3 linked regions of the Saccharomyces cerevisiae S288C genome follow. Changing the gene in region 2 together with the main gene of any one other region gives a genetic interaction. Each region holds a gene or a part of one and is shown on either strand. Other genes may lie near its edges.

The links.
Region 1: of SDH4 (region 2) and ALD4, changing one suppresses a phenotype caused by changing the other (phenotypic suppression), as found in Saccharomyces cerevisiae (one study listed by BioGRID).
Region 3: mutations in SDH4 (region 2) and UFD1 together harm fitness more than expected from each alone (negative genetic interaction), as found in Saccharomyces cerevisiae (2 studies listed by BioGRID).

The regions. Positions count from the first base shown.
Region 1 is NC_001147.6:1,038,126-1,042,059, reverse strand, and holds ALD4 (aldehyde dehydrogenase (NADP(+)) ALD4), read right to left. Parts: upstream 2,221-3,934; coding exon 661-2,220; downstream 1-660. Other genes in the region: glutamate dehydrogenase (NADP(+)) GDH1, read left to right, coding at 1-382; NUD1 (Nud1p), read right to left, coding at 2,671-3,934.
Region 2 is NC_001136.10:816,199-818,995, forward strand, and holds SDH4 (succinate dehydrogenase membrane anchor subunit SDH4), read left to right. Parts: upstream 1-1,751; coding exon 1,752-2,297; downstream 2,298-2,797. Other genes in the region: histone acetyltransferase NGG1, read left to right, coding at 1-362; E2 ubiquitin-conjugating protein UBC1, read left to right, coding at 680-1,327; CSN9 (Csn9p), read right to left, coding at 2,510-2,797. UniProt on the Saccharomyces cerevisiae protein: Membrane-anchoring subunit of succinate dehydrogenase (SDH) that is involved in system II of the mitochondrial electron transport chain and is responsible for transferring electrons from succinate to ubiquinone (coenzyme Q).
Region 3 is NC_001139.9:588,091-591,571, reverse strand, and holds UFD1 (polyubiquitin-binding protein UFD1), read right to left. Parts: upstream 1,747-3,481; coding exon 661-1,746; downstream 1-660. Other genes in the region: SCM4 (Scm4p), read right to left, coding at 1-258; transcription factor TFIIIC subunit TFC4, read left to right, coding at 2,103-3,481. UniProt on the Saccharomyces cerevisiae protein: Functions at a post-ubiquitation step in the ubiquitin fusion degradation (UFD) pathway. Has a role in the endoplasmic reticulum-associated degradation (ERAD) pathway.

The sequences.
Region 1 (3,934 bases), on a different chromosome or scaffold from region 2:
TGCTCAAGGTGTCAAGTTTATTGCCGAAGGTTCCAACATGGGTTCCACTCCAGAAGCTATTGCCGTCTTTGAAACTGCTCGTTCCACCGCCACTGGACCAAGCGAAGCTGTTTGGTACGGTCCACCAAAGGCTGCTAACTTGGGTGGTGTTGCTGTTTCTGGTTTAGAAATGGCACAAAACTCTCAAAGAATCACATGGACTAGCGAAAGAGTTGACCAAGAGTTGAAGAGAATTATGATCAACTGTTTCAATGAATGTATCGACTATGCCAAGAAGTACACTAAGGACGGTAAGGTCTTGCCATCTTTGGTCAAAGGTGCTAATATCGCAAGTTTCATCAAGGTCTCTGATGCTATGTTTGACCAAGGTGATGTATTTTAAATAGTCTAAAAGAAAGAAAAGAGGAAAGTTCATAAAAAGTTCTTTCTTTTTTTTAAATAACTTAGATAGATAATGAGATAAAAGAAGTAAAAAAACGGAATCGTAACGCAATTAATTAATTAAGAAAATTGATTATCGGGAGAAAAAAATTTTATTTTTTATTTTATTTTCTTTAAAGTACATATATTTGAAATGATGACATGTGGAAATATAACAGAGACAGAATATTTAATTTTATGTATGTAAGCATCGATTGGACACCAGGCTTATTGATGACCTTACTCGTCCAATTTGGCACGGACCGCTTTAACTTGCAAGTAGTTTTGTAAAGCATCAACAGACATTTCCCTGCCCAAACCAGATGCATTGAACCCACCGAAAGGAACTGCGTGGTGGAAATCGTTATAAGTGTTTATCCAGACCGTACCCGCATTAACTCTATCAGCCACTTTTAAGGCGGTATTAATATTAGAGGTGTGAATACCAGCAGCCAACCCGTATTCAGAATCGTTCGCCATGTTAATGACTTCGTCGGCAGATTTGAATTTGGTTACAGTGACAACAGGGCCAAAGATTTCCTCTTTGACAATTCTCATGTCTTCCTTAACGTCACCAAAGACAGTTGGCTTAATGAAGTAACCCTTGCTACCTAATCTTTCACCACCGGTAATCAAAGTAGCACCTTCATTCTTACCAATGTCAACGTATTTCAAGATTTTGTTTAGTTGCATTTGAGAGGTTTGTGCACCTTGGAAAGTAGATTCATCGAATGGGTCGCCCACCTTGATGGATTCAGAAGCGGCTTTGAACTCTTCAATGAATTTGTCGTAAATAGATTCTTCAACATACACCCTTGAACCCGCACAACAGACCTCACCAGAATTGTAGTAGATACCAAGGATAATGTTTTGCACGGCTTTTTTCAACTCGGCGTCCGCGAAGACAATGTTTGGTGATTTACCACCCAGCTCCAAAGTCACTTTTTTCAAGCCTGCGGCTGCGGACTGGTAAATGTGTCTACCCGTAGCCGTGGACCCTGTGAAGGCAACCTTTTTGATTTTTGGATGGTTTGTAATGGCCTCACCCACAATCTTACCAAACCCGGATACAATGTTGATCACACCAGGTGGAATACCCGCCTGTGGGATGTATTTAGACACATACAAAGCGGACAATGGGGTGGATTCGGCAGTCTTCAACACGACGGTGTTACCGGTGACCAAAGCAGGGGCAATCTTCCAGGCCCACATCAACAGTGGGAAATTCCAAGGAATAATCTGCCCACAAACACCCAAAGGCTGTCTCTTAGTGTAAGAAAAATGGGTTCTACCAGTATCAATCATTCTACCATCAATTTTATCAGCAAAGCCAGCAGAAGATTTCAAATAGTTGATGACTAAATCAACATCTCCTCTCGAGGAAGAGATAGCTTTACCGTTATCCAAAGTCTCGATGGAAGCAATGACATCCTTGTCCTGTTCAATTAATTCGGCTAACCTGTACAAAGCCTTACCCCTGTCAATAGGGTCGATACCGTTCCAAGACCCATTAGAGAAGGCACGGTCGGCGGCCTGCACGGCCTCTTCCACATCGTCCTCTCTACCTTCATAAATATGACATATTTCTTCTTCCGTGGAAGGGTTAATGACTTCGAAGGTCTTGTTCTGTTTAGAAGGAACAAACTTGTTGTTGATGAACAACCCCGTTGGTTGCTCATATTCCAACCCATTGGGCAGCTTGATAGGCACTGTCATAGGAAGGTGTGAGAAATATCTCAATTGAAGTCTCCCAATGGAGGATGCAGACGTCTTTAAGCAGAGCGTAGATCTACTGAACATGCTTTATTTATTTTTGTTATTGTAGTTTTCTTGGTTGGTTTTCCAGATACTTCTAATCCTAACACCCAAGAATTTTTGAGGAAAGGAGAGTGAAGTCAATTGTCACCGACAAACCCCCCCCATTTATATAACCGCCGAACTTCCATTTTCATTACAAATTTCTCCTCATTCTGCTTACCTACACCCGCCCCTCATTTTCCATCTCTGTTGGAGTTGGAGAAAAAGATACCTGTGGACGGAAGTCCCGCATCGCTGGATAACAGCCGTACCGTCGCCCGGGCGGGGAATCATACCAGCAAACAAAAATGAGGGGGAAATGACATCATGTGCGGACGGTACTAAAGGATCAAAAGAATGAATGAATGAATTGTTACACAAAACGGTGAAATTGTTACATACATTTACTAATTACATACATTTTTAGTACTGCGTACGGGTATAGTTATGGGGTTACAGATTCGTGGCAGTTGGGGCAGGAGTGTCATCTAACCAGAGGGTCGCCAGGGCGGGACATTGCTGCTGGCAGAGGCCAGCAAGCTGGAGCAACTGCCGGTAATGCAAGCTCGTGCTGGCGCGATCGTGGCGTGGTGTCGTGATTGGGTTATTTCGTAGATCAAGAAATTTTACTGATTGGCGTGGGAGAGTTTTTGTTAACTTGTGTGCGTTTTGTAGGTTGTTGCCTGGCAGATGTAGCTCTTGCAAGAACGGTAGTTCCTTGGAGAGGTCCACTGGTAAGTGTGTGAAGTCTCTAACATTAGCTATAGTTAGAGAATATAAGTTGGTGGATTTTAGAGAAGAGAATCGCGGCAAAGAGGAGGCCAGGCCGCCGTTGATCTCCAGAATTTGCAAAGTGGCAGGCCATTTTTGCCATTTGCTAAGTTGAGCGAAGCCGTCCAGTTTTAGAATCTTTAGATTTTGGTAGGGGAACGTGAATTGATCATCCAACTTGTAATTTTGTAATTTGGATAGCGCGCCTCCTGTATTTTTGATGGAAAGCGCTCTCAACGTTCCGTTCTCCATCTTAGAAGATTCCACGATGGAAACTAGCGGGTTACCATTGAGGTTTAAAACCTTCAGGCGGGGCAAGCAATTGATGTTTCTTACGCCAATTATGTTATTGTTGCTTAGATCTAAGACTTCCACGGTCAACCAGCCGCCCACGACAGAGTTGTTTGTTAGTATCAATTGTTCGAAATCGATGATACCATTAATCTCGTTGTTAGAAAGGTTCAGTTTTTTCATCCTGGAGGATCCTATCCCTTCTAAGGATTGGATGGAGTTGTAAGAAAGGTTCACCTCTTGCAGGTGATGACAAAGTGACAAAAATTTTAAACTTGTATTCAAGAGGTTGTACGATAAGTCGAGGCATTCCAGATCGTGGAATCCGGCTAATGAACAATGTGCGCTCGTTATTTTGTTGTTTGAACAAAATAGCTGTACAACGTTCGAGGGTATACCTTCTAGAGTGTTCATTTCATTGTCACTAAGGTTTAGCACTAATACATTCGGTAGTAGTCTTTGCATGCCAAACATATTCTTCAGTTTGCCCCTTGATAGGTCAACTTTCAGGATTTTTTCCCAATCGGAATCATAGCTTGGAGAACCAGATAGTTTACTAGTCAAGATTGATATTAGCTGCTTTTCAGTTTCGTTGAACGAGGTGTTTACTTCGGAAATGGACGTAATATCTTCAACCCGTTCAGCGGGGAAGGTC
Region 2 (2,797 bases):
AACTAGCATGGCAGGAATACTCATCTATTTTAGAAGATTTAGACAAACAAATCGACCAGGCTTATGTCAAACGTATTCGCGTACCCAAGAAAAGAAAGAAGCATCATACAGCAGCTTCAAATAATGTGAACACAGGAACCACGTCTCAAATAGCACAACAAAAGGCTGCAAACTCAAGTTTAAAATCCCTTCTGGATAAAAGGCAAAGGTGGATTAATAAGATTGGTCCATTGTTTGATAAACCTGAAATTATGAAGAGAATCCCCAATGAAAGCGTATTCAAGGACATGGACCAAGAAGAAGATGAGGATGAAGCCGATGTATTTGCACAAAACACTAATAAGGACGTGGAACTAAATTAAAATATACGAACTCTAAGGAAAAATACGTAGCATAATAACGCATATAACTAACAATTTGGATAACTATCCATAAAAAAAAAAAAATAGTCACATAATACGAACATTAATATCCTTTTTTGTTACATTTTCTTCCATCTGAAATATTTGGAGGGGCAAAAACAATGAGATGACAGTTGAATGCATGAACTTCCGATCGCGGGCGTATAGGTAAAGTCAATTGAAGCAAGTGTGACGACATAAGTATCGTAATTTAGTGGTTGGATACATTAAAAAAAACAAGTGGTATATATATAAGTAGTAGTAGTAAGAAGTAAGCGATGTCTAGGGCTAAGAGAATTATGAAAGAAATCCAAGCTGTGAAGGATGATCCTGCAGCTCACATTACTCTTGAATTTGTGAGTGAATCTGATATCCACCATTTAAAAGGCACATTTTTGGGCCCACCTGGAACACCTTACGAGGGTGGCAAATTTGTCGTGGATATCGAAGTACCTATGGAGTATCCATTCAAACCACCAAAGATGCAGTTCGACACAAAAGTATACCATCCAAATATATCATCAGTGACAGGTGCCATTTGTTTAGATATTCTTAAGAATGCATGGTCGCCAGTGATAACACTAAAGTCTGCATTGATTTCGCTACAGGCGCTACTACAATCTCCAGAGCCTAACGATCCTCAAGATGCAGAAGTAGCACAACACTATTTACGGGATAGAGAATCTTTTAATAAGACTGCTGCACTATGGACGAGGTTATACGCCAGTGAAACTTCCAATGGTCAAAAAGGCAATGTAGAGGAGTCTGATTTATATGGGATTGACCACGATCTGATTGACGAGTTTGAATCTCAAGGTTTTGAAAAGGACAAGATTGTGGAAGTGTTGAGACGATTAGGCGTCAAGTCCTTAGACCCCAATGACAACAACACAGCCAACCGTATCATCGAGGAATTGTTGAAGTGAATAGATAAAAAAAAAACGCACCAAGTAAGTAAGTAAATAAAGAATAAATAAACTATATGAGTAAAACACCAAGCGAGGATGTTTCATTGTGCATCCGTGTTCTTGATGATCACATAACTGTAAAAGAATAATACGGCACGTTAAATGTTATTTTAGAATATATAAACACCTTATGTGCCATAAGCATTGAGCCAATCGCTGCTGTTTTTTTTATTCCGGGGCACCTTCGGAAGAACACAGGCGCAATTTAGTTATATAAGGAGAAGCCCTCGAGCGATCAGGGGACCGACTGCGGATCGCTTTAAGGCAAAGATAGAAGGATAAATATCTGCTTTGGAAGATAGTCGTATCTAATTTCCCATTCTGTTGTTTTCTTGATCTTTCCTACGCTTTCGACTTTCTTCCTACGCGCTTTATAATAGCTATGATGTTGCCAAGATCCATGAAATTTATGACTGGAAGGAGAATTTTCCATACTGCCACAGTAAGGGCCTTCCAGTCTACCGCTAAGAAGAGCTTAACTATCCCATTTTTGCCCGTATTACCCCAGAAACCAGGTGGTGTTAGGGGCACTCCCAATGATGCCTACGTCCCCCCCCCTGAGAATAAATTAGAGGGCTCATACCACTGGTATATGGAAAAAATCTTTGCCTTGTCCGTCGTTCCATTGGCTACGACGGCTATGCTGACAACCGGTCCGTTATCCACTGCAGCTGATTCTTTCTTTTCTGTCATGCTTTTGGGATATTGTTACATGGAATTTAACTCTTGTATCACCGATTATATTTCTGAAAGAGTTTATGGTGTTTGGCACAAGTACGCCATGTATATGTTGGGCCTTGGTTCTGCGGTCTCCCTTTTTGGAATCTATAAACTAGAAACCGAGAATGATGGTGTTGTTGGTTTAGTAAAAAGTCTATGGGATTCTTCCGAGAAAGACAACAGTCAAAAGATTGAAGCCAAGAAGTAGATAAATCACCACGAATCATTTGTTCGGTCATGTAACATGCACATCTATAGCAACGACGTGTCTCCTATCTTTTGCTTTTACCTTGTTTTCCGCCGGTATATTCCTTTGCCATATTTACTAGTATTTATTTATTATTATTTATTCTTCTATTTTTCTTTTATTTATTTGTTACTTCCTAATATCGTCATTATTATGCCTTTTTCATATTTGATTTACTCCAATATATTCTGTTTGAGCTTTGTTTCCCAGCTCCGAAGATTTTGAACTAAATACTCTTTCGTCACTCGCGGATTTTTAATTATAGTCAGTTCCTTTTCATGACAGTACACATCTCTACAGTCAAATCTTCTTGAAAATTTCATAGATTTACTGACTGAATCCATCTCTGCTTTAAAAATATTCTGTAGCTGAATTAAATGGCTTTCGATGATACCATCGTCTTCAATTTGACATTCTTCTTTAATTAACTCGTAACTTAACTCATTATATATTTCGCTTAA
Region 3 (3,481 bases), on a different chromosome or scaffold from region 2:
GACACCAAGTCCGCACAAAAGGTAGTTTGGTCTTTCTCCTGGTGCAGCTAGATAGTAGCTGAGTCCAAAGGCACCAGTAGCTAAACCACCTAAAACGGTGCTCCAGCATCCTAATGTGCACAAAACATTCTTCAAATGTTGAGTTAGAACATTTATTGGGGTGGTAATAGAAATCACGGTAGATGAAGTTAAAATACCGGCGTATAAACCTAATGATGAGACTGCGATACCTTTTACAATAGCTGGGGAGACTTGCATTTGTTTTTTAGTATATGTAAGGATTCTTATGAGTGTTTGTCTTAAACTTGCTTTTCGTGAGGTAAGGGTTAAAAAATCAGCTTGGATATAATTTGGAACAATAGAAACTTCTTTTCTCTCATTTATATACTGATCAACTCACAATTATATAACCTGGTTCTTTTTTTTTTTATTTTTCAACAACACAATAGATTCGAGTATGGGTAAACGAAGAGAATTACTTCGGCATTAAGCAAGGGAAATATCGCGCAACCGCGCACGTAATTATTTTTACTAAACGAACAGCAAATGCAGCAGAGCTAATGCGATGCATAAGATACTTGGATTCTAAGATCTGTTAACTTGAAAATGCTCTATATATCTGTCAAAGACACTATATTGTTGTATACTAGTATATATCTTTTAGTCAATTTCGATTACTTCCGGGCTTTTGGGAGCCTTGGACTTGGACGAATCATGGTCACTTTTCGTTTTTCTCTTATTGCTCTTCCTTAGTGAGATCCCTTGGCCTTGGAAATTTTGTTCACTGGATTTGCTACCAGCGGCACTTTCTTCGTCTTCTTTCGGTAGGACCATTGGGAAACCAAAGAATAATTGGCCTTCAGGCAGATCTAGCTTGGCGGGCTCGCCATCAAACGTTATCTTCATATCTTTTATATCTTGCTTGGGCTCCGCTTTCGGAGCTTTACCAGATATGTTTTGTCCCTGACCTACAAATTTAGATAGTTTGTTTCTGCTACTGTTAGCGATACCCGCATAGTCGATTCTTGTGGACATCGATCCCTGGCCAAGCACCGAGGGATCCAAAACTTGGCCCTTACCAAAAGAATTCTTTTTTTCTTTATCTTGCTGAGCTTTCAGCGCTTTGTAATCCGGTTCCACATATCCTACAGGTGGAGCAAAATCTGTTACTAAATCTGTTTCAATGACACATATACTCTTCGATGATGATTCTGGTTTGACTTCTAAGATCTTAATTTTGAAAGTTTTACCATTGTAACTAATCTCAATAACATCGTCCACGGTCAAAGTCGAGAAATTCCTCAGTACGTTTTCCAAAACTGCTTTGGGGTCGGAAATATCCAAGAAATCTACAGACTGAGGTTCTAACTTCACAAACTGGCCCAGAGGTACATCAGTAGATGAAATTTGCAGTAGAGATCCTGGCTGTATACCCAAAGTTTCCATCATCCATTGTGGTAAGTAAACTCTGCCCTCTTCAGCAATAAATTCTAAAACACCTCCATGTGTCACACGTCCAGTTTCATTGGCAGTTAGTTTAAAAAGCATGGGGTATCTTATGTTCAACATGGATAGTTTGCTTAGAGCACTTGGTGGCAGGAATATTTTCCCGCCGAAGTTTGCGTCATCCTTCCGTATTCTATCATTCATCATAGCTATAGGGTAGCATCTAAAGAACTCCTCAAACGTTTGAGGCATATTTACAAAACCATTTCCGCCGCCAAAAGAACTAAAGCCAGAAAACATTTTTATTATATTTTACAGTATCACTTTGATATTTTTTCCTCCCTTGCTATGGTATGTGTTACTATCTATTGAAAACTACATCATTATCTCTTCCCTATTCACATAGACCAGCCAGGATTACTTTTAACTACCTTTATTTTTCGCCACCTAACCCAAAAAAGGAATTCTTCTCTTTCGTAGAACGCAAGTTTGACTTTTTCGTCGTAAAGGCGAGTTTCCCAAAGTGGACACTTTTTTTTTTTAAGGCGCTTCGGCTAGAAATAGAAGAACGATAATAATGGCAGCGCACTGTGTATAATAACACCAGTCAACAATGAATCTGAAGCTAGAGAAAGAAACCCTCAAGTGTATCTGTGATGGCAGCAGGAAAATTGAAAAAGGAACAGCAAAATCAATCAGCTGAACGAGAAAGCGCTGATACGGGTAAAGTTAACGATGAGGATGAAGAGCATCTATACGGAAATATTGATGACTATAAGCATTTGATTCAAGATGAGGAATATGATGACGAGGATGTACCTCATGATCTACAATTAAGCGAAGATGAATATAATTCCGAACGAGACAGTTCTTTGTTGGCAGAATTCTCGGACTACGGTGAAATATCTGAAGACGATGAGGAAGATTTCATGAACGCGATTAGGGAAGCAAGTAACTTTAAGGTAAAAAAGAAGAAGAAAAATGACAAAGGTAAATCTTACGGCCGCCAAAGAAAAGAAAGAGTGCTTGATCCAGAGGTAGCGCAATTACTTTCTCAAGCCAATGAAGCTTTTGTCAGGAATGATTTACAAGTGGCCGAAAGATTATTTAATGAGGTAATTAAAAAAGATGCACGTAATTTTGCTGCTTACGAGACCCTAGGAGATATATATCAATTGCAAGGAAGGCTTAATGATTGTTGTAACTCTTGGTTCCTGGCAGCTCACCTAAATGCTTCCGATTGGGAATTCTGGAAGATAGTCGCTATACTGTCCGCCGATTTAGATCATGTTAGGCAGGCCATCTACTGCTTTTCCAGGGTAATAAGTTTGAATCCTATGGAATGGGAATCAATTTATCGCCGGTCTATGTTGTACAAGAAGACAGGACAGTTAGCAAGAGCTTTAGATGGATTTCAAAGGCTTTACATGTACAATCCTTATGATGCAAACATATTGAGGGAGTTGGCCATTCTTTATGTTGATTATGATCGGATTGAAGATTCAATTGAGCTCTATATGAAAGTGTTTAATGCTAATGTTGAGAGAAGGGAAGCGATATTAGCTGCTTTAGAAAATGCCTTAGATTCTTCAGACGAAGAAAGCGCCGCAGAAGGGGAGGATGCAGACGAAAAGGAACCCCTTGAACAAGATGAAGATAGGCAGATGTTTCCTGACATCAACTGGAAAAAAATTGATGCAAAATATAAATGCATACCATTTGACTGGTCTTCTTTGAACATTCTCGCGGAACTTTTCTTAAAACTCGCAGTTAGTGAGGTCGATGGTATAAAGACAATTAAAAAATGTGCACGGTGGATTCAACGCCGCGAAAGCCAGACATTTTGGGATCATGTTCCAGATGATTCAGAATTTGACAATAGAAGGTTTAAAAACAGTACCTTTGATTCACTACTTGCCGCAGAAAAGGAAAAATCGTATAACATTCCAATCGATATTAGAGTTAGATTGGGATTGTTAAGATTGAACACAGATAACCTTGTTGAAGCTCTGAATCATTTTCAATGCCTGTATGA